Linked DNA regions of Oryza sativa Japonica Group. The protein of the gene in region 5 binds, or shares a complex with, the protein of the main gene of each other region. Links are inferred from orthologs where the notes say so. Each region holds a gene or a part of one and is shown on either strand. Other genes may lie near its edges. The genes, in order: large ribosomal subunit protein uL4c; large ribosomal subunit protein uL15c; 50S ribosomal protein L24, chloroplastic; large ribosomal subunit protein uL10c; large ribosomal subunit protein uL13c.

What was found.
Region 1: large ribosomal subunit protein uL13c (region 5) and large ribosomal subunit protein uL4c share a complex: the UniProt entries of both Arabidopsis thaliana proteins name them as parts of the 50S ribosomal subunit. The link is inferred for Oryza sativa Japonica Group from reciprocal best matches to the Arabidopsis thaliana genes emb1473 and RPL4.
Region 2: large ribosomal subunit protein uL13c (region 5) and large ribosomal subunit protein uL15c share a complex: the UniProt entries of both Arabidopsis thaliana proteins name them as parts of the 50S ribosomal subunit. The link is inferred for Oryza sativa Japonica Group from reciprocal best matches to the Arabidopsis thaliana genes emb1473 and RPL15.
Region 3: large ribosomal subunit protein uL13c (region 5) and 50S ribosomal protein L24, chloroplastic share a complex: the UniProt entries of both Arabidopsis thaliana proteins name them as parts of the 50S ribosomal subunit. The link is inferred for Oryza sativa Japonica Group from reciprocal best matches to the Arabidopsis thaliana genes emb1473 and RPL24.
Region 4: large ribosomal subunit protein uL13c (region 5) and large ribosomal subunit protein uL10c share a complex: the UniProt entries of both Arabidopsis thaliana proteins name them as parts of the 50S ribosomal subunit. The link is inferred for Oryza sativa Japonica Group from reciprocal best matches to the Arabidopsis thaliana genes emb1473 and EMB3136.

The regions. Positions count from the first base shown.
Region 1 is NC_089037.1:8,801,782-8,808,144, reverse strand, and holds large ribosomal subunit protein uL4c, read right to left. Parts: upstream 4,349-6,363; 5' UTR 4,281-4,348; coding exon 3,347-4,280; intron 2,187-3,346; coding exon 2,149-2,186; 3' UTR 1,932-2,148; downstream 1-1,931. Other genes in the region: peroxisomal nicotinamide adenine dinucleotide carrier, read right to left, coding at 5,351-5,553, 5,732-5,786, 5,878-5,946, 6,258-6,363. UniProt on the Arabidopsis thaliana protein: This protein binds directly and specifically to 23S rRNA. May play a role in plastid transcriptional regulation.
Region 2 is NC_089037.1:6,340,696-6,346,984, forward strand, and holds the start of large ribosomal subunit protein uL15c, read left to right. Parts: upstream 1-2,270; 5' UTR 2,271-2,329; coding exon 2,330-2,747; intron 2,748-2,913; coding exon 2,914-3,065; intron 3,066-4,051; coding exon 4,052-4,273; 3' UTR 4,274-4,287; exon of another isoform or gene 4,288-4,389; intron 4,390-5,029; exon of another isoform or gene 5,030-5,249; intron 5,250-6,040; 3' UTR 6,041-6,063; intron 6,064-6,176; 3' UTR 6,177-6,289. Other genes in the region: uncharacterized protein, read left to right, coding at 762-835, 1,005-1,738.
Region 3 is NC_089040.1:29,338,653-29,345,052, reverse strand, and holds 50S ribosomal protein L24, chloroplastic, read left to right. Parts: upstream 1-3,720; 5' UTR 3,721-3,800; coding exon 3,801-3,923; intron 3,924-5,032; coding exon 5,033-5,071; intron 5,072-5,146; coding exon 5,147-5,374; intron 5,375-5,487; coding exon 5,488-5,670; 3' UTR 5,671-5,892; downstream 5,893-6,400. Other genes in the region: beta-glucosidase 25 isoform 1 precursor, read right to left, coding at 81-156, 850-908, 996-1,062, 1,149-1,265. UniProt on the Arabidopsis thaliana protein: One of two assembly initiator proteins, it binds directly to the 5'-end of the 23S rRNA, where it nucleates assembly of the 50S subunit. Required for optimal plastid performance in terms of photosynthesis and growth.
Region 4 is NC_089037.1:9,830,806-9,835,838, reverse strand, and holds large ribosomal subunit protein uL10c, read left to right. Parts: upstream 1-2,613; 5' UTR 2,614-2,674; coding exon 2,675-3,337; 3' UTR 3,338-3,460; downstream 3,461-5,033. Other genes in the region: mitochondrial hydrolase YKR070W, read left to right, coding at 208-291, 929-988. UniProt on the Arabidopsis thaliana protein: This protein binds directly to 23S ribosomal RNA.
Region 5 is NC_089035.1:31,964,484-31,970,706, forward strand, and holds large ribosomal subunit protein uL13c, read left to right. Parts: upstream 1-2,661; 5' UTR 2,662-2,756; coding exon 2,757-2,981; intron 2,982-3,542; coding exon 3,543-3,728; intron 3,729-4,009; coding exon 4,010-4,180; intron 4,181-4,653; coding exon 4,654-4,773; 3' UTR 4,774-5,006; downstream 5,007-6,223. Other genes in the region: probable hexosyltransferase MUCI70, read left to right, coding at 125-401, 539-795; heat stress transcription factor A-4b, read left to right, coding at 6,198-6,223.

The DNA.
Region 1 (6,363 bases), on a different chromosome or scaffold from region 5:
AAGACATATAAACTAATAGACCCATCGTTTGGTACATTGGAGGAAAAAAAAGAAACGACATATTTGTAACAAAAATTAATTTGTGAATACAACTTTTATAGATGTGTTCTTAACGATCTAAAAGCAAAGTCTGGAAAATAAACTACGATAAAAATACCTTTAAATCAACTTTAAATTTAAAGTTAAAAATTTAAATTTTAGCTAATAAGTATAAATATAAATGAAAAGATGGACTGTAAAGCTTTTGGGTCAAACAACCACAAAGCACTATGAATCGGAGCAAAGTAACTTGGCCCATTGGCCACAAAGCTGTGGATGGACTAATCGACAGCGACGTGTGCAAACTTTACGACACGGATGATAAAAGAGCTCCGAAGGAGATCAGACCAACACGCCGAAAAGCAACCGACAACGACGATAATGTCTAAGATTTATACCATCATGCTAACTTATTTCTTCCACTGGTGTTTTCGTGTCCTAACAGTAGCCTGAAGGATGAATCAACCGTTTTTCCTGTTACTTCCGGAGACTCTGAGATGATCTGGTATATTTTTAGTTTAAGAATCCCACCCAGTAAATTCAGTTGCACAACAGCAGCCAGTGGCACAATAGAATTCTGCTGCATATTTGCACAGAACTTAATACGGTGAGTGACATTTAGTGTAGTGGTAAGTTTTCTTTCTAATGATTCCTTCCAAGGAGCATAATGCAGACCTAACATGTAGGGACGGAAACAGTTATAGTCAATCGATCCAATATTCCAAACTAGAACCAATCAATGGCCAGTCTCAAGAAAAAAAAAAGAGAGTGAAATTATGTGCTCAGGTCCATCCCCATAATTTGTATGCCTTTTATGCATAGTGGGCTAGTATAATATGGATAGCTTTTTGCCCACCAAAAAGTTTAAAAGATAGTGCCAAAGAAGCTGGCTCAACCTAAGCAAGACTCTTCCCTTTTCGGTTCATAGATACAGCACTATTATGTCAGTCACAATCTCACAAATGATTTCTTTAGATATTGTTGAAAGCAGAGTAAGACAGAGCAAACTATAAGTAAATTCTACCGATAGCACCAGCTAAAAATGACATAAAATACTAGACATAGCAAAAGACCAGATCTTGCACCTTTCTAAAGTACAGACGCAGCTTTGCCCATAAGCCCATAATCCACTTGTAGTGCAATGTCAGAACAATTAGAAAGGTGATGATCTGGTCCAAAGTTGTCTGGGTGGACTTAAGGATGGCCCAACAACTCTTCTTGCATGACCCAGGTAAGAAAGAAAAATGATGGAATCATTATGGTTAGGCATAAGCAGAGGGTTGGTTCACTAAACCCTCAGGTGATCTACAAGTAAACCTGAGCAAAATGGTCTGTTGTTTACGACTGATCTGGGCTTAGAGTTTCAAGATCAGCATCTAACCCGGGCTATGCTGCTCCAGTGCTCCATGTCCAAGTTGAGCTAGGCTACTTTCCACATTGTAAAATGCAGCAAGTCCTCTGAAAAGACTTGTTAGTTGTTACTTGTTAGAGCTCACCCAGCGAAAAAGTTAGTCATAACAAGGAACAATTCAACAATTTAAGGAGACAAGATTTTGTAATCATACCCCTACTCAAGATGTTACTCTCTCCATTTTATATTATAAGTCGTTTTGACTTTTTTCGGAGTCAAACTTCTGTACGTTTGACTAAGTATATAGAAAAAAAATGGTAACATTTATAATACCAAACTAGTTTTATTAAATGTAACTTTGAATATATTTTTGATAACATGTTTGTTTTGTGTTAAAAATGTTATTATTTTTTCTATCATTTTGGTCAAAATTAAATAAGTTTGACTAGGAAAAAAAAGTCAAAATGATTTATAATATGAAACGGAGGGAGTAGAAAATTAGTGGTAACCAGCAGGTCAACACTGGTTTTTTGAAGCAAGATTGGGAAGCACTTTCTGTATAAAATTGGAAGAAAAATATGCAGTGGTTGACACGACATTGTATTTGAAAATATATGTGCAGTTTGAAGATCTAATATACTGCATCAGTGAAAAAAAAACATTATAAACTTACAACAAAAGTAAGCCAAAAAGCTTCTGCATCAGGGAAGCAATTACCAGACCAACAAACGAAAAACACGCGATCTACACCTCCTTCCCTAGGAATTGCTATCAGCCTCAGTCTCTGCAGCCTCATCTGAAAGTCATACAAAAAGAAGTTCCTGAGAAATGCTCAAAATAAGAGAAAGTTATAATATGCAGCACCAAAATGTAACAGAGAACTGAATGTCAATTAATAATAACTTAGTCCTGTAGCTATGCATAGTATTTACGAAAAGGAAGTGCTTGAGTGATGGAGAAAACATGTGTTTAACTAGGTTTTACCTCTAAAGCAACTTAAACCAGCATATTCACAGCTAACTACTTTATTAAGATGGTTCTAAGGTCTAACAGAACATCTTTGAAGTGAATGATGACAGTGCCAATGGCTGACAATGTTTCAAGTGATAGGTGATAGGGGTAGCTGTGTGGCACAGCAGATTGTGACACTATTATAAGGAGTGTACCAGTATCCCCAGAGTTCTGGTTCAGTGGTGTTCATGGATTCCATGCAGTCTCATTTCTTCTTATTTTTTAGTTTAGTGCTTAGGACTTAATCCACCTTCAGCCGAAAATTTAACCACCATTAGGTGAAGTCATTTTCTATTCGCAAATTGTTGAGTTGCTCATGAGCTCTGAATAAAAACCCTAAGGAGGTGCAAAATAACGAGTAAAATACAGACTCAGTGGGTCTACTGAGAGCTAGCATAGGGGTAGGTGGATCTCTAAGCATGCTTCTAAAATAGACCATTGAATTATGTCATGGACTTATTGGATCTTTCAGGAGGAAAAAAAACCATACGATGTACATTAGCATGGTAAGCATTTTTCCTTTTGCATGCTGGTAAGGATAAGAGAACTATTTCGAAAAAAAAATTAGCTCCATAAGTCTACAAGGCCACAAAGAATTTCTCCATAATAATTAAGATGGTATTCATAAGACAAAACTGGCTACATTTTCTGTTTCTTTGCCACGTTATCTTGTTTTTACCCTTAAAACGCATGTCAGGATCTTTATCAGCATACGTATAGCATCGATCATGATATTTACAACAGAGCATAGCTAAGAGTTAAAAGATAAAAAAAAAAACTACTGTACATGCCATTAAAGCAGAGCATTTTCTCTCCTAACTATCAACTAAAACATGTAAAATAAAGGATCACTGGATAGCATTAGTTACTCAAAGTCATTTCGCACATGCCCACCATAGAAACAATAAAAAGACACCTGGAAATTGTTCATGCATAGCTATGTACCTTGAGCAGCCTCCTCTGCGCTCCCTTCTCCTTCTTGCAACTCCTCTGCTTCCTCCTCACCATCATCCTCGCCATTGGTATCATCCTCATATTCATCAAAAACGGTGGCACCATACCTGGAGTTGAGATAGTTAATGGCGGCCGGGGTGAAGAAGAGCTTGCGGGCATCGAGGATGTCGTATAGGTTGAGAGTCCTGGGGGTTAGCATCTTGAGGGAGCCAATGTTCCTTCCGCTGAGCCGCACATTGTCTGCAAAATCCGTGGCGAAGAACATGGCCTTCTCCTTGGGGTCGAGCCCCCACCGCTGAAGCGCGGCCACGAAGTCCCTGGTCTTGGGACCCGCGGCGAACTCCTCGTCGAACTCCTCCACGACGAATGCATCGTCGGCCACGGCGGCACTGGCGAGCGCGGTGGAGATGGCGAGGCGCTTCTCCTTGCGGTTGATCTTGATGGACCAGTCGCGGGGCTTGGGCCCGAATATGACGCCGCCGCCGGGGCGGAGCGGCGTGCGCATCGACCCGCGCCGCGCCTTCCCCGTCTTCTTCTGCTGGTAGGGCTTCCTGCCGCCTCCCCTGACCTCGCCGCGGGTGAGCGTGGAGGCCGTGCCGCGGCGCTTGTTCTGGCGGTCGGTGATGATGGCGCGGTGCACGACGGCGCGCGCGGTGGAGGGCGGCGCCGACTTGAGGTCGAGGGCGACCTCCCCGACCTTCTCCCCGGTGAAGGAGAGAACCGGGAGGGTGGCCGCCTCGGCGCGAAGGGCGCGGAGGACGGAGATAGCCGCCTTCTGCTTGCCGGCGGCGACGGCGACGCGCGGGGAGGAGGAGGCGGCGGCGGCGGCGGATGGGAGGAAGGAGACCGAGGTGGGGGAGAGGAAGGGCGAGGAGGAAGAGGAGAGCGAGAGGAGGAGAGTCGAGGCCACGGAGGAGGCGGCCATTGCGGCGGCTTCGCTCGCTGCGGTGCGCTGCGTGGGCTGGACGACGGGGAGGCTTTGCCGCTGCAGCTGCGGAGCGGCCGCTTCTCTATCTCCTTATCCACCCCCACCCGACCGGACCGGCCACACTCTCGCGAGTGTCAGCTTAGTCGGTCGCGCCAGACCAGTAAGATACACACACTACTATGTGTTTGGATTTTAGAAGAAGCATCTCTTCATTAAAAAAACTTAGATATTGTTAAAGAAAAACCCTCGAGGCAGTATTAGTCTATTAGATGGTGTTTTTTTTCTAATAAAGATGAAATAAAATAGGAAAGCAAAATGAAAACGGCCCATTAGCTTATGTTTAATTAAGTTTTGATTATTTTAAACTTGAAATTGATTTATTTGATATTTTAAAATATTTTTATGTAAAAAATTCATATGAAACATACCATTTAGCAGTTTAAAAAATGTGTTAGGAAGAATTTGCATCTTAGTAAAGAAGGAGGCTTAGTTTCACCAAAATGAGTTTGAAATAATCAAATTAAATTTCATTTCCTTTTTGTCGGGTCAGATTGCTCATTAGCACTTGTGTATCAGAACAGTTGCCTGAGAACCACATTGACAGATGGGGCGCACCATAGACACAGTTATGCTAAAAATGGACAGGAACTCCAAATTTTCTACTTCTACTTTTGTTCTGAACACTTGCGAAGTTTTCACGATTGCGATCCTCTTCTCGGTTAGCTCTAACAAACAAGCTAAAGAAACTCAAGTAATCTGAACAGATGACTAGCGCTTGCGATTCTCATTGCCAACTTATTTTCTAGTGTTTCAATCTTCCATAACAGTATACTTTACACGAGCAACAGAGATAGCCTACCCAATATATACCATCATTATTGGTTCCTACAAGAATCACAGTGGTAATTGTACTACATCTTTAATCTCCTTTTTTTGGAGAGCCTACAGTCGATCAGAGTCTCACAGATAACTTGATATCTCCTAACAGGGGCGCTTGGCAACTCTGTCCATCGCTTTATGGAAACAATTGTGGTATAAGTAGGGAACTAACTCTTGTACAACCTAGATCATCTTAATGGCTTCGATGGTAACTTCTTAACAAGGCTGGTGTTGCCGGTTACCAATAATCGAGCGCCCTTCACCAGTTCCTCCTTAATCATAAAAAGGAGAGCAGAAGCAAAAACACTTTGTACGATTTTTGTGCTCATTCCTTTATAAAGCCCTGACAAACCTTCATAACGTATCATCTTTGTGATCGCATCAAATGTGCCTGCAAGCAATAAAATTTGCATAGCGTATTTGGTAACAAAGTCAGAGAACAGCAAATATTATTACCAGAAGAGAAGTAAAGACTATCAGAAACAGGATATGGAGCAACATCACTCATTAAATAATAATTCACTCTAAATAATAAAATGAAGTTTAAAGAATAAAGGCCAGCGATGTACCTTTGTAGCGGTGCCTCTTGTCATCATCAATTATTTGCTTCACCTGAAGTCTTGCCTGTAGAAAAAAAAAACATGGTTTAACTTGACATGTCTGCTCAATTGTGCACAGAAACGGCTGCTGCTGTAACTGGTGTTCAAATAATCACCTTCACAACTAGAAGAGGATATGTAACAACAGTCGCACCCAGTTTGGCAACAGCACCAAGAAGGAAAATCTGAACAAGGATTTTACAGCGTGAGATGAAGACGGTCTATAACATAGCTAACTAACAAAGAAATAGTAGTATTAGGAGCATATAAGAAATACTAGTGTTTTCAGCAAATCATCATGGTAAATGAAGTTAAGACATGCAACATATAATTACTGGACATGAAACATCGTTACTAGAAGAACAAACTTTCAAGTCAGCGTTACGGGTAGATTCAGGCCCCAATGCAGCAAGTTAGCATGATGCAAATTGGTTATATCCTAATAAATCTGTACAATGATCCCAGTCACCAGAAAAGCCAAAAGCCAAAAGCTTACTTCAAGAGCAGTCAGTCCATCAGCTCCCTTCAAATTAGAGGCACGTCTCTTTTTCAACTTCTTCAAAAGAGTCTCGTACAACATGAATTGGATTGCAGGGTTGCTA
Region 2 (6,289 bases), on a different chromosome or scaffold from region 5:
ATGCATGCCTTATTGGTATATCTCTAAAGGTGTGTTCGGAATCCCCAGTTCCCAACTCATCCATCTCGTTTTCCGTGCGCACGCTTTTCAAACTGTAAACAGTGCGTTTTTTACAAAAAGTTTCTATACGAAAGTTGCTTTAAAAAATCATATTGATCCATTTTTTAAAAAAAGATTAGCTAATACTTAATTAATCATGCGCTAATGAACCGCTCCGTTTTCCGTGCGGAGGGGATAGGTTCCCATCCTCCATTACTGAACACAGCCTAAGAGTGCACATAAATATTCATAGAAATATAAGCTAGATGTACATTTTAAAGCTAACTGTGTAATTTCCAAAATGTGTAATTTATTACTCTCTGCCTTGTTAGTGTATCCTTGCAATGTGGGAGGTAGGATGTAAACCTCAGTTTGTGATGAACAAATAAATCAACTATTATTATTGTTAAATTTGACAAAGAGAGATGTTAAACTAAGAAGGTAATGATGGGTGTCTGCTTCAATATCTAACATTTTCTTTGTGTTGTCCTGTCACTTTGGCAATTGCATAATCTAAAAAGTGGTAAATGATCTGACATAAATTTTTCTTTATTGGAGGTGAAATCGACATGTCCAGCAGCCAAACAAGATTAGTAATACCTGAACAACTATCATGCTCTTTCTCCTCCTTGGGGTCCTGGGATGCAACTTACTCTAAATTTAGTGTCATTGAGTTCATGGATGGAGTCATGATTTGGCTTTCTGTATTAATATATATATAGGCACAAGAAGCGGTGCACTGGTAGCTATCACAGAGTTCAAGGATCATCATCAGGTTGTGTAGAGGGTTCAAAAGGTAACATTTGGCTTAAAAAGGAGGTTCCAGTTATGATAACATTTTAAGACCATAAAACAGTCTATTTTGTTGAAATGCCTTGAGATGACTCTTTACTGCAGATATACATTTTAAACTCTTAGTATGCCTACTCATACAAATTGATGATACTGCTAATTTTTGTTGGTAGCTTTATCTGTAGAAGCACCTGATTGCAAAGTTGAAGAATCAGCCCCTGGAAGTTGGCACAATGCGCATGCATCAATTAAGGGTGGAAAAGGCAATAAGCATGAACTGGAAGAAACCTCTGCTGGGTTTCCTCCTGATGACTCTATTGGTATTTCTGGAATGGAGTCCTCTTCAAGAGACACAGCTAATAAGAAAATCAAATTGTCAAAGGATATTGGTTTGGACCGTCTAACCGCCACAACTGTTCAGGAAGCACCGAAGCGTCCAAGAACAACCTCACTAAAGAAGAATCAAGAGTGCAGCAGACAGAAGAAAAGAAAAATAAGCAAGTGGGATGGTTCCTACTCTGTAATCATTGAATGGTTGAATTACTATTCTGTGGATGAGTCAGATGAAGATGAGGTGCCTTTGATAAATAAAAGAACCGAAAGAAGAAAGCGGCAGAAGTTACTGAAACTTGTTCTTGCTAGGGAATCCAATAGTGGCAGTGAAGGTGCTAGTTCTACATCTTTTGTAGAAAATGGCAGAAATTCTAGCAGTGCTGGCTCTTACCCCCTAAGCCAGGGGGACAATGACAAATCTGAAAATGTGCAAGCTAATCGAGTTGATGTAAGTTCATTGCCAGATCATCCTGTAAGTAGTCATGTAGCAGCAGAGGATCAAGCTGGCCAAGCTGCATCGTCACCATTGAACTCACCAACTAGAGGTATCGTTGTTGACATTTCAGATGGTTGATGGCCAGAGTTCCATTAGTTTCTTTCAGCTGAGGCCTGGACGTACAATTATCCAGACTACAGTTGTAACACTTACTTTTAATTCCTTGCACCTGTCTACTGCTAGACATGCAACGGGACGATCCTGTGAAGCATGTGTCTTGTACATGTCTTCGTTTCTTCCTTTCTCATTTCACCTTTTCTTTTCTTAGCATAGATCAGTTCAGTATACTTAACTCTGTCAGGTTGTGTGACCCATCAGTTTCTCTCCGTACTAGTCTCTTGAAGAACAGCAAAGATCAGGTTTTCTCTTTGGTTGATTGTGTGTGGAAGATCAATCCAAATATGTTCATTTCTTAAGAAGATAAATTCAGTTCTATTCTATTCATAAACTTTTGTAAACCTTCTAAAATCCTTTAATAAACAAGAAGCAAAGTGAGTAATACGAAACCATTCACAAAATAGAGGGAAAAGAGGCCCAAATTCCCAAGGGTTAATTGGATTCATGGCCCATTTATCCAACCGTCTTATCTCCCTCGTGTCCTTCCCCAATTATCCCCTTCTATCCACCCACACCAGCAAGCCGCTCAGGCGCGCTCTCCGCTCCACCGCCATGGCGTCCATCACCCTCCTCTCCCTCGCTCCCGCGGCCACATTGCTCCACCTCCCGGCCTCCACTTCGCTCTCCACCTCCTTCGTCGCCGCTCCAGGCCCCATCTCCGGCCGCCGGTCCGTCGTCCTCCGCGCCCGCCCGCGCCGCTGCGTCACGGTCGTGTGCAGCGCCGCGGCGGCCGAGGCCGCGGAGGCGGAGCCCGCGGAGAAGTTCCGGCTCGACAACCTGGGCCCGCAGAAGGGGTCGCGGCGGCGGCCGAAGCGGAAGGGGCGCGGTATCGCGGCGGGGCAGGGCGCGAGCTGCGGGTTCGGCATGCGTGGACAGAAGTCGCGCTCGGGGCCAGGCGTCCGGCGCGGGTTCGAGGGAGGGCAGATGCCGCTCTACCGCCGCATCCCCAAGCTGCGCGGCATTGCTGGAGGTGAGTCTCTTCGAGCTTCCCGCTTCCCCTCCTCGCCCTCAATCGAAGCCTCACACATTCAAATGCACTGGAAATTGAGTGGGAACACGCTAGCACCTTCCATTTGGAATGCAGAAATGCTGGGATTGAGAAGTGACCCGTTGCAAGTTCTACCTTGCGATTGCAGGAATGCATATTGGCTTGCCGAAGTATGTGCCGTTCAATTTGAGAGACTTGGCGCGTGGCGGGTTCAAGGATGGTGACGAGATATCATTGGAATCCTTGAAATCGAGGGGTTTGATTAATCCGTCTGGCAGGGAGAGAAAGCTTCCTCTGAAGGTACACTATACGACGATTATCCTTCTTTTTTTTAAGTCGGTTCTGTAGATGACCATGTTTTACTGAAAACTGAAATATGAATGCCTTGCATTTGATCTTTGCCAGTGAATTCATCAAGTTCACCAGCAGTCTTGGGTAATCCTTTAGTTGTTGATGTTGTGGATTGAATGGCTGGCCTTTTTTTTTCTTGTAGTTCTCAAATGTTGCTGTGTTGGTCTGTCCTTAGCAGCAATTACCAAGTTGAGTATTCGAAGTCTCAAAGTTGTGTGTCGGGATCAATTTTCTTAGCTCGTGTTGGACAAACACGGTATGATTTGACGAGTGTTTCTATTGGCTACTCAAGGATCTAGAACGTATGAGTTATGATGAACCCACACATGGTGTAGGCCTGCATATGAGCATATCTGTCAGGCATAAACATGAAGTGGTATCAAGATCCCAACAAAACCATGTGCTCTTACATGTACCACTGCATGTCTGCATCACTCCCAACATACCCAAAATATTTACTGTTTGTCTCCACTCTTAGTTGGCGGATTGCTGGAGTAGATGCATTAGTGTGCTACTGGGTTGCCCCTTATAGTGGGTAGTGGTGTGGCGCTTGATCACTGATGTGACAAAGACTTCTCCAAGGGTGGAACTTAATGCACCTTGAATAGCATAATTGTTCAACTTTTATTGTTCTTTCTGGTCCTATTTCATTTGATTGATTTTTTCTATACTCTAGGCTCCTAGCTATGTGGTACATATAAGGTAAAACCCACAGGGCTAAAACAGGTATCAAGACCTAAGTCATAATGTGGGGAGCTATCAACTTTATCCTTATGATAGGCTTTTTCCTTCTTGACATCTGATTCTGATGTTCAGCAGATGGCGTTCCTTTCATCTTTGTTTGAGTACAATGATACTGCAATGTTGCTGTTGTTATTGTATCTTTTATCATGCGGGTAGTATTAGTATGCTAACTTTTGAAAACCTATCTGTAGATTTTAGGAGATGGTGATGTATCAGTCAAGTTGAATATCAAGGCTGGGGCATTCTCTGCTTCAGCCAAGGAGAAGCTCGAGGCAGCTGGTTGTACTTTAAGTCTGGTACCAAAGCGGAAGAAATGGCTACCACAATCTTATCTGAAGAACCAAGCTCGTGCAGAAGAATACTTTAGCAAGAAAAATGGTGGTGCTGGTGAATCTGATGAAGCATCTGCATAGAATTCATATACACTGTACTTCTCCTTTACCCTTTTCTTTAACATATACTTATTTCTCTTACCTTGTTCCAAAAGTTCCACGTTCAACGAATTTTGAATCCGTGCGATATGCAAGCATTTTTTTTTGTGTGTTTCCTGTTTAAATGGAGAAAATTCCTTCTATACCCCTGAAAGTTTAGCCAATCCCTTCTACGCCTCCGAGTTTTGTCCACTCCTTTGTATGCCCCTGAATTTTGGTTTTGATCCCTTTCATACCCATACCGTTAGTTGAATGTTTAATTCTAATGAAAAGGACCTTTTTGCCCTTAGACATGAAGGAAATCTAAAAATTGTAGACTAGCTATATTGTTGGAAGTGTATAATTTTGTTATATAAGACTATCATATTCATGACTTTATTGTACAAGGTATTATTCATGGCAAAGTTTATTTTTACCTAATGACATAAAAACTAATATTTATTTACCTACTAAAAGAGTATATGTAGCATTTGTTTATGGTAGTTCAACATATTTTCTCCTGTTGTATATATTATATAGGAATGCTTTCCAAAACTATGTTTATCATTTAAAAAAATGCTACATGTACTTTTTAAATATATATTAAATTTTTTATGTACATAAAACTTATGAATATGATAATCACACAACAAATTTTATACTTCCAACAATATAGTTTACAAATTTCTACATATTCCTCACATATTGAAGGGTAAAACTGACTTTTATATACCTATTAAACGGTCAATTAACGGCAAGGGTATGGAAGAGATCCAAATCAAAATTCAGAGGTATACAAGGGAGTGAAGGAAATTCATGGGCATAGAAGGGATCGGCTAAAATTTCAGGGGTATGGAAGGAATTTTCTCTCTTTTAAATGTGATGTATGTCAAATGTCAGTATGCATACCCCCCAACACACACCCTCACCCTCTTGTGATCTTGCACTTATACTTCAAGTTGCCTATAGTATTGTTGTCCATGTTGTGTTATAGTTTGGTGACAGTCTTTCTAAACAAAAACAATGATGGTTCATCTAGGAGCTAAACTCTGTTTCGCTTATTTGATCCTGCCTTTTTCAAAAGAAGGTAGTTATCATTTCAGTGTCTTAATTGATGCCCATATGTGATAATGTGAACTTGTGGGCTTCTTAATTGTCCATGTATACATTTCGTGATTTCCTGGGAAAGTGGACAGCTGGACACACATGGGGGCATGCACACTTAATTGCTGCACTGTTCATCTAGTGACAAGAATGGGCAAATGTTATATAGGGTTGCAAGTCATTCTATGTGTGCTTAACAATTGATTTTGAACACAAATTTCAACAGAACTCATCCATGAATATTGCTTGTTTGAAGAAGTTATATAAGGACACTGCTATATCTACTGTCACATAAATTACAAGTAGTTTCTTGTTTGACTTAATACAATAAGGACAGCACATCCCTCCTCAAAGGCTCAAACTGACTACAGTTATATCATCATTTTGAACTTCATGTTCATGTTCTCTCATTTTTTATTCAGGGATTTAAATCGCCACTTACTGCTGCTTGTTTCTTTAGGAGTTAGTTCAAAGGGTGACATAACTCACCTTTTACTGCAGCTTGAAATTCTTTTTCCTCTCTCTTTGATTCATTCTTGCACCCTCTTGCTCCCTGTGGACGTTGATGCTTCTTTTGTTTGATTTGCTTCTTGTTTCAATCGTTTACATAATCTCAATTATACCTCATACTTGTTATTTTCCTGTTGTTTTTCGACATTTCTTTAGGAAAAGAAGTCTTGACTATTTAGGTAAATTCTATTCCATCTTTGACTGTGAAGGTGTTAATTTGTTGAGATGTTTCCCATTTGATCAAAAACAATTATTTATGGCCTTTTGATGATAAAATTTATTTGTATTTTAGATTAACACGCAAATCATCGCCCTCATTCGGGCCCTAGGTCCACGCAGCATCGGGAGAATGACTGGCAAATAAGGGTTTGGGTAAATTTCCAGTGGCATAGAAGAAAATTTACC
Region 3 (6,400 bases), on a different chromosome or scaffold from region 5:
TGGCAAGATGCATGGTGGTATTAGTGAACAATAACAAAAAAAAAAAGATAGATTTTGCACATAATTTACATAATTCATACTTGGAAAGATCCGTGACCATGAGATAGAGAAGCGGTATGCATCCATGCCGATGTCATTCATTAACTCCACATCTTCCTGCCAGTTTATCCATTTAGTTGATGTCCTTATTTCATTACAAGCTCAATCAAAGAAATAGAATCGACTGAACAAATAAGACATGCTCTATCCAGAAAGCCTTCTTGATGCTCCAAAATGGCATCTTGTATTTGGAAAAACATCAGAAATGGTCTTCCTGTTATCTTAGTTTTGGAAGCAGCATGCTAGAGAAGTGGATTTGCACAATTAGTATACTAGTAATTCGTAAATTAGCAGTTTAGCATGCCTACAGTCTCTACACATTTAAACTGTAAATGGCCCAGACAAAACTTGCACTGGGATAATTTCCTAACAATATAATACGTCAGACATTGATGCTTGGAGATACAAAAGTGCGCAAGCAATTAGTTTTCATAAATTACTAGAAATTGTTGAAGCAAAGGTTGGCAAACATTTGACCTAACTTCCAGGATGCCTGGATTTGCACATTCCTGGTTAAATGACCAGTTCAGATTTCTTTGAAAAATAATCAATTCAGGTTCCATCAGATCATCCGTAAAACTATAATTCAAATTTAAAAGAACAACGTAATTGGTCAAGGCAAAGTTCACATTTTTAATCCCAACATAATTAGCCAAAAGGTAAACTTCATGTCCCAGATTACATATCAGGAACAAATGAAGTAAATAACATAAAGGAGGTACAGGAATTCATGAATTATGGATAACTCACCTTGTAGCGATGGTAGTGATCAACAGCAACATCTGCATTGCTGAAATCAATCACCCGACCTGAAGAAAGATTACATTGCTCATATTGCAGTCATAGTTTGCACCTCAGATTAGAGTACTTCTACAAATAAATCCCCATTACTGAACCTGGTCTTTTCGTGAGAGTATCCCATATGGTAGGTCCACGTTGGCCCTCATTCACGGCACCTTCATACTGGTAATATATTGACCAGAAATATCCATCAGACATCCATCTAAAAGAACTCAAGTGAAATTAGAGATCTTTTGGTAACACTAGACCTGGTAAGCTGAAGAAGCTGTGCCAAAGATAAAACCGGGAGGGAAGTCTGCTCTGCTTATAGCTTCAACACAGGCAGAAAAGCTGACAAGGATATGAACAAGTGTTAAGAGACTCATGGCCTTCCCTTCAGTAGGTAGCACTAACTACTAATGTCCACAGTCTATAGATAAGTAGCAGACAGGATTGTAAGATATATATAAACCTTGTTGAGTTGGTGGGGTGTGGGAAGCAACTGAAGGCTGATCATCACTTGTCTTGGAATCCAACGCGCGTCTCTGCTAAGTAGCTCTTGTGGAGGTGACAGGTTGCAATATCTCTATCACACTGGACATTTTATCAAAAAGGGAAGGAAACTTTGACATGTCCAACTCTGAAAGTGTCACGGGTGTAGCAAACTAAAGCTTTACTTGAGTGCAACAATTCCAGGCGCATTAAGGATTTCCCAGGATTCCAGCATTTAAGAATAAAAATTGTGTAACTGAGCCAGTCTTTAGGAAGCTACACCAGTTTGAGAGGAGTGCAAGCAACATGGAAGAAAGGCTGTGTTAATATCACGATAACACATTTCCTTCCTAAAATACCATCCTGCAGTATTGACCCCCCTTTTTTTTCTCTTATGCAATGATGCTAAGTGATAATGACAATAAGGAGCCTAAAAAATTATGATTAGGAAAATACAGTGGTTAACCCCAATATAATAGGAATCTTTGTTATCCAACTAGTTTGGCAGCACGGCATACCAACAAACAAGTACTACTAATTATTGATCACCACATTTGTTGCATTGATTTAATGAGTGGATAAACCAAAACTGATAGCAACGATTTAGTGATGAATTTATCCTGAGATTATAGCACAGTCACACACTTATCCCATTGGAAAGAAAACGGTTTGCTTGCACGGCAGAGCCTTTCAAGAATTGAATAGCTCCAGTGATAGCCACACGAAAGGGACAGGAGCGATTTGCTGATGGTGACCAGTGGAACAGGCAAGAATGTAGTGCACGTGTTATCCATGAAATCCCTCACATGTACACCTAAGGTTTATCACTAAATACAGTAACACACAAATACACAATGCATATAAACGTAGACTTTTGAGTCAACAGTTTTGTTTATCACGAAATATAGTAACTAACACTCAAATACACAATGCATAGAAACGTAGACTTCTGAGTCAACCGTGTTAGAATAGCTTGGCCAAAGATGCTCGATGATTCGAAATCTTCGGTCAAAAAGCTTGGAATTCATAGTATAACGACCACTGTCACTATGCTATTTGGTTTTAGGTAGAGAAACCAAGAGTTCTTCGATTCGAAATTAGGTTGGTTCCTCAACCTCCTCACATGGATCGGAAGGCTTCGATTCGAAGTCGTCCGATTCACATCGGTGCCATCTACCTACCCATCCCCATTCCCCACCGCCCACGCCCAACCCTATCAAATGAAACGCGAGATTGCAACCCCCCAAAGAGAAGAAAACGGCAGCGGAAATGGCGACGTCCCGATCCCCCACGCGGCGTGATGGGGAAGAACTCCTCAGGCGTACGCGCATCGGCAGCGTCGTCACCGCGAAAGCGCCCCCCAAAAGAGAGAGGAAATGGGTCCCAGAAAAGCGCAAAAGGGACGGAACTTGGGGGGTTGCTTGCCTCCGCAACTGTCGCTTGGCTTGCGCGCGTCGCCGGCGACGTCGAAGCCGCCGGAATCCGGGAGGCGCCACGCCTGGGCGCCCCCGCCGAAGCAGCATCTCGCGGCGCGTGGCGTGGTGATGATGCGTGTGGAGACGAAGCCACGCAACGCAACGAGGAAGACGACGAGCGTATGCTGGGCTGGGCCTTATCCGAAAACGGGTGTCGGCCCATATCAACCCAGGACGTTCGGCCCACGTTACTTGACCACAAACGGGATTGCGGACGACGAGCGGCCCACGACATTTGGGCCTTAACCGGATTGCTGACGTGCGTGATAGTAAGTCTATTTTGCCTCCCTCATGTTCTCTGCGAGTCAGCCTGCCACGTCAACAGGAACCACCCTACAAACCATCTAAGGGTTGATCTGCTACGGTTTTCGCTTATTCGAATCGTTTATTAGCAAATAAAAATTTATTTATGAGTAAAATGTTTATATATGTCCATAATAACTTAAAGCAAATGTTGTAAAATATAAGCATTTTAAAAAAACAAAAAAGCAAATTCAAAACTAAGTTCTCAAATTCAAATTTTGGCTCATAAATATAAGCATAACCAAACAATAAGACCGATTTTCCTCCATTTTGCGGTTGAGGGAGGTAATTCAATCAGGAGCAGAGATGAGAAATGTACAATAGATTTTATCTGTGTAGGTGCGACCTGTTCTTGTTGGGTCGAGACGGGATTGCGGCTTACGTGAGGCCCGCTATATTTGAGCCTGAACGGGATCGCGGCTGACTTGGGCCGTAAGGTCCGTTGTAGTTGGGCTGGATTACGATAGGCCTTTCATTAGGCCTTTATGAGTCTTACAAGTGGGCCAATCCATTCGGCCTAGAGGCCCATTTGTCATGTAGAAAAGCGCTCGCCATTATCCTGTCCGCGAGCACACGAAGGCGTTCGTTATCCTCTGCTGCTTCTCTGCGGTTTGAGCGAGCGAGGGAGGAAGAGGAGGGGAGGAGACGAAGATGGCCGGGGTGGCGGCGTTGCAGGGCGCGATGGCGTCCCTCTCCATCTCTGCGCCGGGGGCGGCGAGCACCAGCAGCTTCTGGGGCCACCCGCTCTCCACCTTCGCCGCCGCGCCGGCTGGGGTTTGTGCCGACTCCCAACCCTGATTCTCATTTTTCGCATTCCTTTATGTTTGCTCTGCTCTTATGATTCGCTGGAAAAGTAGAAATGCCAGCTTGCACTGAGATTTAGGATTTTAGAGCTCACCAACAGCGTGGCATTGCAATGGTGATGTCTACATCGCCTCACTGTACTGTTGTTGCCTTCAGGAGTTCAGGCTCAGGACCTCAACTAGCCAACAACCAACGTTGTGTCAAAATTTTGTGGTATATTTTTTTTAGAGAAAAGGTCTCAAGGATTTTGTGGTATAGTTGAACCTAGTTGGCTAGTATAAGGAGGGTTTATATGAATTAATGAATGCTTGAAATCTCAAGTTTGAGTATATCAACTGAGTGAATTCAGAAGTTAGAAATTGTGTTGTCTACCATGGGATGTGGCCTGTTATGTTTCAGTTTAAACTTGAATATTATTTTTTTCCTATGGTGGTATAAGCGATGGATACCCAATATTCAGCCTTTCAAGCAGAGGATTATTTTTCTGAAAGATGTGCCCTCTAGTGAGACAGACCATTTCTTGTTCTAACCTGCTGTATAGATCACATTTCGCTGGCTAGAAACAATTTTGCCTTTGAACTTTAAATTACTCAACAGTAGAAATTTCACAGAAGACTTCCATGGGAAAATGATGGAAACTCATTTCACTCGGGGATAGCCTGTAGCAAATGATTGGCACACTCGGTATACTTATCAGACTGAACTTGTTCTATCTTTTGTATATTCTTTTTGGCGTTCCTTAGCTCTTCTAGATAGTCTACTGCACTTCGTCCTCAGAATGAGACTCACTCACGACTAATTACTTACCTGGAAAGTGGTGATGAGAGAAAATAAGGCCGAATAATTGCTCTTGAATGGAGTGACTGAGCTATATATGGCACTTATATGATGAACTGTACTAAAATCTGCACTTATATGAAGAAACTCGTACTAAAAGATCATATGATTATCCTAGATATTCTTGCCTAAGAAACATCGTGAGCATGATTCATGTCATATCTCAAAAGCAGCTGATTATTACATTTTATGTCATTTTCATAAGAAACTCTGACAAGATATGCATAAATTTTTATATGCAGGTTAAATTTATGATCAAGACATGCCCAATTCAAATGAGGGTAAGTTTCAATTCTTTTTTGGTCTGCAGCTTGCTATTTACTCAAATGTCTGAAATTTCCCTTTTTCCAATGCAGCTTAAGCGATGGGAGAGGAAGAAGTGTAAACCAAACAGTCTTCCTGTCCTGCACAAGATGCATGTTAGGATTGGCGATACAGTACAAGTCATTGCAGGCCGTGAGAAAGGTAAAGTTGGAGAAGTTACGCGGCTTTTTAAGCACAACAGCACTGTAATAGTGAAGGACTTGAACTTGAAGTCCAAGCACAAGAAAGGAACAGAAGATGAACCGGGTGAAATCGTCATGGTCAGCATTGTTTCTCTTGAAACTTCTTTCTGTGCTGCTTCTAGCTAGTGTCGTATATATAGTTTCAGATGCCTGATCGTTAACCTATGGTTGTTGGTGTTTTCTTTGATCAGATTGAAGGCCCCATTCACAGCTCAAATGTGATGCTCTACTCAAAGGAAAAGAATGTGGCGAGTAGGGTTGGACACAAATTCCTTGAGGATGGAACGAAGGTTCGGTACCTGGTCAAGACTGGTGAAATAATTGACAGTGCTGAGAATTGGGTCAAGGTGTTCAAGGAAGGAAGTTCGGAGTGATCATGGTAGCATGGGAGTCCTGCACATTTTCTGAACTGCACTTTTTGTATGCCCAAATGAGTTGATGCTTTTCTAGATTCAGATTTCAGAGTCTTGTAAATTTCTATACAGTTGCCAACATTTTTTTGTATCCAATGACATGCTTGGCTTGTTAACCAGCTACTAGAATGGTTCAGCTACATTCGCTCATACAAATGATTTTGTAATGTTGTTGCTGTCCCCTGTCCTGAGCTATTATTCGCAACCATTGACTAATTTGGTCCATTTCCATATAGAAATATAGATGAGATGTACATATAAAACCCATGAATGATTGATAAGTTCTTTTTTTTAAGGAGTAGTAAGATAGGAGTATCATAAAAGAAACAAGCTTAGCAATTTTTTTTTTGAAACAACCCGCAGCGATGTTTCTATTGATATAGTAGGAAAAAAATACAAATATATAGTGCTAAAAGATAGCGATGTTTCTATTGATATAGTAGGAAAAAAAATACAAATATATAGTGCTAAAAGATTATAGTCAGAAAAAGGAAAAAACAAATCTGATTTGCCATTGATAACATGAAAGCTCAAGAGCTCGTGCTGACGGCTGAGAATCAACATAGCAGATATGGCACGCAAATATCAAATCCAGGTGATCGTAAGCAAACCACAGTTTTCTGCTTGCGTTTTGCTCCGCGAGGGAAACCTGACACCTGTCCAGATCCCATGAGACGAAGATGCAACCCAT
Region 4 (5,033 bases), on a different chromosome or scaffold from region 5:
ACGTGTATATATTTATGAAATTGAATGATTAGCATGAATCCGACAAATTAATATATCATGTAATATACCTTGTTAAATAACTGCCATCCACTTTGGTCCTTTGCTTTTGTGTAGTTCTAAGTTCTAACAACTTAAACAATCGTAAGCGATGAAACTGTAGCTTCTTTCCTCCTGGAAAAGTTTCTGACATTGAGTGACATTTTGCAGGCTGGACCCCCTTGGTCACCTGTTCTTACAAGGACTGGCGTATTTAGGGGAAAGGATAATGATCCACAGTATCCTGCTGATTTGGTATGTTATGTCTTATTAGTGATTTACCGTATAAATGTTAACTGTCAAGCCATCTGATACATGACAACACGTCTGTCAAGAACATGGATGTATAAAGTGATTATAGTATCAGATTAGATCTGAAAAACCATAGGAATTTGCTCATCTTACTCTGGAACTCAATTCTTTTGCAGTTTTACCTTACTTTTACCTACTTTGGCACAATCTATAGGAGATTAGGAGTGGTTACTTTAGTTCTCAAGGGGGTTGGGTATCGTATATCTTTTTTGTTCGAGTGATGCACTGATGCTTGATTATTATCTTGCTAGCCCTATCAAATCACAATTTTTTTCTTCATTAAACATGATGTTCGTACCAATCCATACATTGTTCTCATGCTTGCAAAGAAATAATTGTTTTGTTAATCTAATACATGCGCTTTTGTGGGTGTTTTGTGGGTCTTGAACTGTAGTCCCGGCACATCCTTGTTACCGATTGGCTGTCATCTACCAAAAGCTTCTTCTGCTGTCTGCCGATGCAGTTTTAAACTGCTTGCAGTTTTATTAATCAGAAACATTGACAATCCATTGTTGTGGCCTCATGCCATTATGTTTATTAGTCTGCATGCTGTTTTATTTACACTTGCTATGTCATGCAGGTTGTTGATACTGTTGAGGATGCCATTAACTGTATTTTGGAAAAGGAATGTATACAGTGACAGAGTGACACTTGTTCTGAGTATCCATGCTCCCTTCATTGTTATTTGGCATGCATTTTGTGCCACACCATTGTTTTGTCTAGCAATTCTGGAGCAATTGTTAGCCGGAGTTCCATCTCTGATTCATTCCACTTGTTTAAGTTGGGACATCAGAAAATATGCTGATGCGCTATAGTATTTTTTTTTTCCTGGCTGAGAGATAGGCCGGACATTATATATGTAGAATCGTCAGGGTTTCAGGGCAGCAGAGCTGCAGCAGAGCTAAAAGTGAATTTCACCCTGTACCAGACGTTCTTGTTTCCCTGCATCTTATTTCTTGGATTTCAGTACTACCAATGACATTATTATATGAACTATACACTTCCATTATCAAAACCATCATTTCATGTTAGGGATGGCTTGAAGTGCACACGAGTTATGGAGAGAATGGTAAGCATCGGATGTTTGGTTTTCTGTGAAATTGCGTTGAGCATGCTGAGTCCGGAACAACTCCGTGTTTACAGCATCAGAGCAGCTGCTGTTGCTTGATCGTCGCAGTTTATATCCTTTCCACCTGACATCCTTGCAATGTTTATATCCATTTTGATCGTCGTACAAGAGATTCGCATGGTTTTCTTACCTGTAAAAAAAAGTTTGAATTATATATATATATATATATATATATATATATATATATATATATATATATATATATATATATATATATATATATATATATATATATATATATATAGTGATGCATCTACAAATCGGGCGCTCGATTTTTTACAAAAATCAGGCATTGTTTCACTAAATAGATCGAAAATGTTTCAATATTTTTAAAAAAGCTGAAACACAACCAAATCACATCGTGAAATATTTTGTTACAACATATGAAACAACAGTTTCCAAAAAAAAATCAGGCATTGTTTCATCCTATATAAAAACAATATTTCAGCAAATAGCAAAGGATGTTTCAAATCATTGCAACATTTGATCATACATAGTGAAACATCACGAGTACACTTGCTAAAACATTGTTGGTGGAAAAAAAAATGAAACGGATTCCTTTAATAAAGTATTTCCTTAATGTGCGGGTGATTTGTTATAACGACGCGTGTGGTGGGGCACGTGGGGGGGGGGACAACGCATAAGGGGTGGGAGCGTGCGGGAGGCGGCGAGCGCCCGATTTTTCTACCGCTGATCGGGCGCCTAATCGCTGTCATTTTCTTATATAGTGATATCTATTGTGTTGAATAATTCAGTACACTGATGTATGTTATGTTTTATTGTACATATCAAGAGTTTTTGAACTCAAGAAAACAATAGTGATGTATGCTGTGTTGAACAAGGCAGTGAAGATTGGAGTTGTTGGTACACGACTTCACTCACTATGGTTTAAATTGACGTCTATGAATACCACACATACGCGTTTGCTCTATGCCTCTATTTTTTTTTATTTGGAACTCTTAATCTTATTTTCAACCGCTCATGGATCAAGATCGAACGGCTATAAATCCTCAAGCAAAGGTCAATCTCCACGGAAGCTTCTTTCTGTGCAGCTGACCGAGCTGAGTTCACCATCTTCTCAGGCACTGACGATACGGTCCCACATAATCCAGTGAGCCCCCCGCCTCATCTTCCCCACAGATAAGCTCTCCCACTCCACTCTTTCTCCCAACCCGCCATAGCTCCCGGCCTCCGAAGATGGAGACCTCCTCCTTCCTCCGCACCACCCTCCCCACCGCGAAGCCCCTCCCGGCGTTCCAGACCCTCGCACCCCGCCCCCGCCCCCGCCCGCTCCGCCGCTCCACCATCAGCGCGGCCATCACCCGAGGCCGCAAGGAGGACACGGTGGCCGCCGTCCGCGAGCAGCTGGAGGGCTGCTACCTCCTCGCCGGGATCCGCTACGAGGGCCTCACGGTGAAGCAGCTGCAGGGCATCCGCGACACCCTCCCGGAGACCTGCCGGCTGCTGGTGGCGAAGAACACGCTGGTGGGGAAGGCCATCGAGGGCACGCCGTGGGAGGCGCTCAAGCCGTGCATGAAGGGGATGAACGCGTGGCTGTTCGTCCACACCGAGGAGGTCCCCGCCGCGCTCAAGCCCTACCGCGCCTTCCAGAAGGAGGAGCGCCTCGAGGAGACCAACGACTTCGTCGGCGCGGTGTTCGAGGGCAAGTTCTACGCCCCCGGGGACTTCAAGGCGCTCGAGACAATGCCCAGCCGCGCCGAGGTGTACGCCAAGCTGCTCGGCTCGCTGCAGGGGCCCGCGACCTCCGTCGTCACCACGCTGCAGGCGCCGGCCAGGGACGTCGTCTCCGTGCTCTCGGCGTACGTGCGCAAGCTCGAGCAGGAGGTCGGCGCCGCCTGATGGCTGTTGAGAGATGGTTTTGTGGCTTCGTTTCTCTCATCTCACTCATTTCTTGTAGAATTCCTGTACTTTTACTGCCTCACGTTTGAATTGAATCACAAAAGTTTTACCTCTTACAACGCATGCCTACTGGTCTGATTTCATAAGATTACCGAGTTCTGATGTTATTAGGATTACGTTGCGTACTTAGAGGGAATGCTTGTTCCACAACTAGTGTTTTGATAATTTAATTTTACCTGTAGAGACTACAGAGATCAAAGTTTAGTAGGTTGAGGGGCAATGGCAATGCACAATTAGAATGGTCAATAACTACTAGTGCTTGTGTAGTTGTACCATCAATCAGTGTATCCAGGTTTACAACAAAGTTGTTCAAAGCAGTATGATGAGATGTTTTAAAATCATGAACTTAACTGTGCTCTTTTTGTTAAGAGCAAACCTCCTTGAAGTGAACAAAATTAAATGATTAATTCATCTTTTAGTAACAGAATAACACTAATTAGAGTTGGAAATTCTTCTGAATTAGCTTCTGAAACTTACTGTTGGTCACCAGCTCACCACATACCTAATTTGTATCATTTCTGTCTGAACGCGCAGTGGATCAAGAATAGAATTGGCAAAATTGATGATCACATGGTCACTTATTTGTTTGATACTGATTTCTTCTGACAGTCATGGTATTGTCCTAGGTTATTGTACTTGAGTGATAGTTGTAGTTTTGCAGGAGTGACTACCAGGCATGTCAATATGCCAATATCATTCGCCCAATGGATAAGGATGTGAGAGGCTCTTGAGAATATAGAGGAAAGCTTGTTAGGACCAAGTTGCAGTCTTACGGATGTGAAATTGCTTTGGTATGGGAAACCATTTCTTTGGTCCATTCCTGAAGATCGTGTTGTTTGGTTATAAAAGATACATAAAAGATACATATGTCTCTAGCAACATATTGTGATTTGGCTGCTTAGGATCTATTGCAAGCTAAAGTGGAATACGTGCACTGCCACCAAGCGGTTGTGAAATAAAGTATCATCTGGATAAGTGCTTTCCTCAATCTCTGAATTCTTCAATGGAACTCAGCAACATGATCTTGTTTGTCTTTAAGCTTTTACATTAATTTGAAATTTGTTTGCAATGGCATGCTTAGACACAATTTGAAATCATAGTTATTCCATGATGTATAATAACAAACCTTCTTGTACAGTAAATTTAGTCCTGATTGATGTGTAAAAGTAAATACACTGCTACAGCCTCATTATATAACTGGAGGGGATTTCCATGGTGCAAATGTGCATTTGCTTGAGGTCTAAAAAAATGGTGCAATTCTTTTGACATCTAACTAACATCAGAGTTGTATTCAACACATCATTGCATCTCAGTGACACTGATGAATATTTTCTTTACTTTGTGGGTCCAAACATATTAATGCCTTGCATGCACTACTTTATTCCTGCAGTGCTGTATCTCCAAACAGATAAACCTAAACAAGTTTTCCCTTCATGAGCGAACTGTTGCTGTGTTGGTCCTTTTGAATTTGGTGATGCATTTTACGTTCCTTAATTAGGTCTAAATTTACTTTATGTGAATATTACTATTATATGTAAGATAATGTAAGCCTGATTCTGTTCTTGTGTTGATAAAGCTGGGCACCACCATGTGAGCGCCTGATTGGCTTCGAAAGCTCACACCTGTTTTTTCACCT
Region 5 (6,223 bases):
TATATATATATATATATATATATATATATATATATATATATATATATATATATATATATATATATATATATATATATATATATATATTTCTGATAGTAATATTCATACCATTTCTTTTTGGCAGATGTTGACTCATCGCCTTTTCCCAGAGGCAAGATACTCTATATGGGTGGACTCCAAATACCAATTCCGAAGGGATCCAATAGGTGTGCTTGAAGCACTTCTTTGGAGAACAAATTCTACCTTTGCTATTTCTGAACATGGAGCACGGAGTAACATCTATGATGAGGGTAAAGCTATTGTTCAAAAGCACAAGGCTACTCCAGAAGAAGTAGAAGTTCAATTAACTCAGTATCGTAAAGATGGGATGCCAGATGAAAAAAGATTACATGGGTTAAAAGGTTAGTGCTTGATTGTAAAGAATGGAATGAAGTGTTGCCTACTTTGCATATTGCATATACGGAACCAGTTCTGTAATTTCCATAGCTAATGTGTTAAGCATGGTTGATATGATCAATATATCTGTTATATTTTTCAGCTTTATCTGAAGCTTCAGTCATTGTGAGGGAGCTGGCCCCAGTGACGAACCACTTCATGTGTGCCTGGTTCAATGAAGTTGTTCGCTTCACATCTCGAGACCAACTCAGTTTTCCGTACGTCTTGTGGCGCCTAAACATGCCAGGAATCAACATGTTTACTGTATGCACTCGGAGGGATCTTGTGAACAGTTTGGGTCACACAAGAAAAGTAAAACCTCTTCTTACTCAGACCAATTCAGAGTCATCTGCCATGTGAAGCCTTTTTCTGGTTTATCTGCTGACAATCAACTAACCGTTGATTTATATTGTTCTGATCTGCCACACCCTTCGGTCCACAGTTTTGTTGTAAATTATTCATTCATTATTCCTCAAAAATCGTCACGGTCTCTATGTACAAGGACTTGCACCATTCACCAGATAGATACACGTTAAGAGGCAAACTATCCTACCTTGATGGTACCTGTAAAGTTCTCTTTCATTTGGTGCAAAGGAACAATATTGACCCTTTATATTTGCTATATACGAATGTGTAACATATGAATTTGTGATGCACCCGGTGCTGCAATCTTATCAATGAAAATGATATCATCTTCTGTCCTTTGCACCGTAGGAAAACATGGACACCAATTCTCCAATGATCTTACCTTTTCAGTTATCTTTATTTGTCGCCAGAAACATAGCCTAATTTTGGGTATATGATCCTATATCACCTGTAGTGCTGACTTGCTTGTGTGTGTGGACAATTTAACATGGGGCAATTACTCATTTGACCCTATTTTGATGTCTAACTATCAATTTGACCTTACTTTTCTAGGTTTGCTCATTTGACCATGCTTTTTAAAATTGAAGATCAGAGATGACCCTATTTTGTGAAGGGTAGATAACGGTGTTAACTAAGAGGGAAATTGTCCGTTTTGCCCCTGCTCATTTACCATATTATATCAAAGTTTTTTCTTCATCGGGACTTTTTAAATATTTGCAATGATTTTCATGGCTTTTACAGATCTGAGACAGATTTGTCTTCAATTTAACAGAATTTTACACAAATTTGACAGCATATTGTCCAACAGCAAAGCATATTGTCCAACAGCAAATCAGATCCAAATCCAACAATAAATTCGTATCCAAATCCATCAACAAATCCAACCACAAGTTATCCTCCGTCTCTCGTTCCACACGACGCACGACGGCAGCCGGCGGCGCCGCCCCTCCGCGCGGCAACAGCCGGCGCTGCTGCCCCTCCTCCACCCTCCGTGCGGCAGCAGCCCCGCCGCCGCTCAATCTCTCCGCTTCGAGCACGGCAGCCGCCGCCGCCGCCGCTCCCTCCTCCTGCGCGCCGACGCCGCTACTCCTTCCCTCCTCGCGCGGCCGCCGCCGCCGCTCGCCGCTCCCTCTCCTTCCTCGCGCGGCCGCCACTCCCTCTCCCTCCTCGCGCGGCCAACGCCGCCGCCGCTCCCTCTCCTTCCTCGCGCGGCCGCCACTCCCTCTCCCTCTACGCGCGGCCAACGCCGCCACCGCCGCCGCTCCCTCTCCCTCCTCGCGCGGCCGCCGCTACCGCTCCCTCTACGCGCGGCCAACGCCGCCGCCGCCGCCGCCGCTCCCTCTCCCTCCTCGCGCGGCCGCCGCCACCGCTCCCTCGATGCGCCGCCAACGCCGCCGCCGCCTCTCCCTCCAGCCCGGTCGGCGGCAGCTCTCCCCGTCACCGGCGAGGTGGGGATTGGGACGAAGAGCTGGGGAATGGAATGGGAATCCTAGGGTTAATTTGTAACACGGGGGTATTTTGGTCACTTTAGGGTAGTATTTTTTTTTTCTTTTTTCTAAGTGATGTTCTACCGGTGAAAGCAAAACAGGTCAAATGGAAACTTCAATTTCAAATAACAGGGTCAAATAAACAAACCTAAAAAAATAAGATCAATTTAGTAGTTGGCCTTTAAAATAGGGTTAAATAAGCAATTATCCCATTTAACATATCGGAATTTCTACGCGTTTCTCTAGCTTTGATGCATCTGTGGGCTGCAAAGCCCAGCTAAGCAAAAGGCCCATCTCTTCCTCTTCCCCTTCTGGCTCCCTCTCCCCCCCTATCCCCTTCTTATCCGCTCTGCTCTCTCCACCTCGCCTCCCCGAAACGAAATGGCAGTGGCGTTCCACTGAACCAGGCCAAGCCAGACGGACAAGACTTCGCCGCAGCCGCGTCCTCCTCACCGCGCCGCCGTCGCAATGGCTACGGCCATCGCAGCCTCCGCGTTCCTCTCCTCCGCCTTCGCCAGGGACAGGCCGCTCCCCCGCCAGCGGCGCGCGGCGAGGCCCGCGACCCGCCGCGCCGCCGCGGGGGGCCTGTCGGTGCGGTGCGAGCAGAGCGAGAAGCAGAAGAGGCAGCCGCTCTCCGCGCTCGTCCCCCGCGAGCAGCGATTCATGTTCGAAGGCGACGAGCTCTGCGGCCCCGTACTAACCCTCACCTCTCTTTCTCTCTCCCGTATACATTCTTCTCTTTCTCAGTTCAGAAAATGAATAGTAATGCTACATTCCTTGGATAAAGGGAAATTTTACCGTGATTTAGGATTGCCGCTTATTTAGGAAAGCTCAAGATTAGTCCCATTCATTTCTAAATCCGTAAGTCACTTCATCTTGCTCTATTGGGTCAAATCCTTTCTTTACATGAATAATGTTAGGGAAAATACACAATGTTTTTACATGTTACTATACCGTATAGACCACCATCTTATTTTATTTAAAGTTATCTAGTTGTAATTTATTACGAAAGAGGATTCCATAAAATGAACTGAAAATAACATGGAGGGAACGTTGGTCTTTCTGAATTGGTCGCTAACATTGTGTTGTATTACTCAACAGTGTTCGCACCTACATGACTACCATATCTTTTTATCTGTGGATGTTTAGGTTTGTGAAGTTAGAATTCAGTACGGATACCATTCTTGTGTTCTTTCTCTCTTTTCTGTGCAACCTGTTCTGTGTAGTGATCGGACCAAGGAATTTAATTTGCAGGACATATGGAACACAACATGGTACCCTAAGGCTGCAGATCATGTAACTACTGAGAAGACATGGTATGTTGTTGATGCAACAGACAAGATTCTAGGTAGGCTTGCATCCACCATTGCAGTACACATCAGAGGAAAGAATGAGGCCACATACACTCCAAGTGTGGACATGGGGGCTTTTGTTGTTGTGGTATGTATGTTTCTTGAAATTAATTTATAAAGTTAAATAGTGCACACAATAAGATCCTCTGTAGTCCCACAAAAGGAAAAGAGGTTTAGCAGCACATACAAATAAGCACCAAAAGGTATCTGGAAGCTGAGGTCCACCTGAAGGCATTTTGAAGCTGATTTCATGTATATATATTTATGTTACTGTGTGCTTTTAATACTAATGCATCTCTGAAGAGTAATTGCTACGCATATACTATTGTAAGTTCCTGAACTACCATGCTGAACTCTATGTTCACATAGGTTAATGCAGAGAAGGTTGCTGTTTCTGGCAAAAAGCGGTCACAGAAGCTCTACAGGAGGCACTCTGGACGGCCTGGTGGAATGAAAGAAGAAACTTTTGATCAGCTTCAGAAAAGGATTCCGGAGAGAATTATTGAACATGCAGTGCGTGGCATGCTTCCTAAGGGCAGAGTAAGACATCATCTCTTAGAGCTCTTATCTAGTCAGTTTCATCAAGTCTTTTTGACCTTAAGTCAGCCTACCTGGGTATACATATGCTCTTATCCTTATTTTTGGTCAATTTCTAATACATATCTGAAAATGGGTATCCTCGTTCTGTTCCATTATACTTCATTATTGTGTATAATTCCCCAACTTTATATACCCTGTTCATGGAAATATTCGCTCTAATTGAATGCCGAAACGGCGTGGGCTAACGAAGTACTAGATGTATTCTCCCAAAACTCCTATGTTGCCTGTAAGACATCTTATGATTGCCTAAAGCCTTTTACTTATGCCTAAGTTCATTTATAAAAAAAAAAAACGTTTACTATGTCAACCTCTCAAGTTCTCATATGTTAGTGACACTGACACATGTAATCCGACCAACTACAGCGGTTGTACGTGCTCTATGTAGCCTTCTCAACATTTTGAACATTTTGCAGCTGGGAAGAAGACTGTTTACCCACCTCAAGGTGTACAAGGGAGCAGAACATCCCCATGAGGCTCAAAAACCTGTTCCACTGCCTATCAAGGATAAAAGAATACAGAAGTCTGAGAAGTAGATAATTCCTGTGGAGACTAAGAAAGACACAACAATCTCACGTAAATTCCTCCCCTCGAGATTTTGTCCAATCTTTGGAATGTGATGCATCTGTCTGTTTGGGGAATGGAGTGTAAAATTTTTTGTAATTTACTTCCTCCAAAAGTTTGTGTTTCTAAGTCATAGTTCTTGTTGATTACATATCATGTACCTAATACCGTACGATTTTAAGCAATCCGATATTTCCATATCCAATTGAGTAGTGCAATTTTGACCTGAGATGAGCTTGATGTGTCATTGTTTGGGGGCAAAAGTGTTCTCTTTTTTCAATGGGCATCAGGTGTTTCTAAATTCTCTTAATAGTTGATGTAGATCTGTTAATTAATTGCACGTCCGTGTTTATCTTCCATATAACGAAAAAGTTGACAGTACCAATCGTGTGCTCAAGTAACACCTATTGTACCATGTACTCATTCTGTAAAAAAAAAGCCAATTTAGATGAAGATCTGATACCACCTAAAAATAATGATTAGGAGGTTATCCAGATTTATATTAGGTGGTATCAAATTTTCATCTACGGGGTTGTTTAGATCCAGAGGTGTAAAGTTTCGACGTATCACATCGGATATTATATAGAGTGTCGCATAGGGTGTTCGGTTACTAATAAAAAAAACTAATTACAGAATCCGTCAGTAAATCGTGAGATAAATTTATTAAGTCTAATTAATCCATCAATAACAAATGTTTACTGTAGCACAATATTGCTAAATTATGGAGCAATTAGGCTTAAAAGATCCATCTCGTAAATTAGTCGCAATATGTAAAATTAGTTATTTTAGCCTATATTTAATACTTCATGTAGGTGTTCAAACGTTTGATGTTACAGAATAAAAAATTTTAAGGTGGAATCTAAACAGGTAGTTTTTTCAAGGAAGAAAGTAATTGCGAGAACATAGATTGAAGTTCAATTGAACAGAGGCGGCATGGCAGTGAGATGAGTAGATCCCGGAGTGGCCGGGTCGTCGCCTATAAAATTCAGCGAGATTCATTCGAGAGCGCGTCACTGCTTACCTAACCCCACCCAATCACCCCAACCGAACCCCGCACGGCGCACCGGACGCCGTCGCGTCCGGTCGCTCGTCCTCCGCGACCCCACCTGAACAACTGAAGAACTCATCATCCGTCATCCCTCCCCCTCCCGCCAGTTACCCTCCAGTACCATCCTCCGCCCGCCTCGTCTTAAAACGCCTTCTGGAAAATTCCGCCAATCCGAGAGGGATTTTTCCTCGCAACCAACCAAACCAACCAAACCCCCAACCAAGCGAGCAAGCCGCCTTCGCCGGGGGGGCCCCCACCCTGACGGCAACCCTAGCCCTCCGATCACCGGCGCTGAGACTGATCCCGCCGCCGTAGGAGGAGGAGGAGGAGGTGGTGGTGGTGGTGGTGATGGAGGGGGGCGGCGGGGGCGGGTC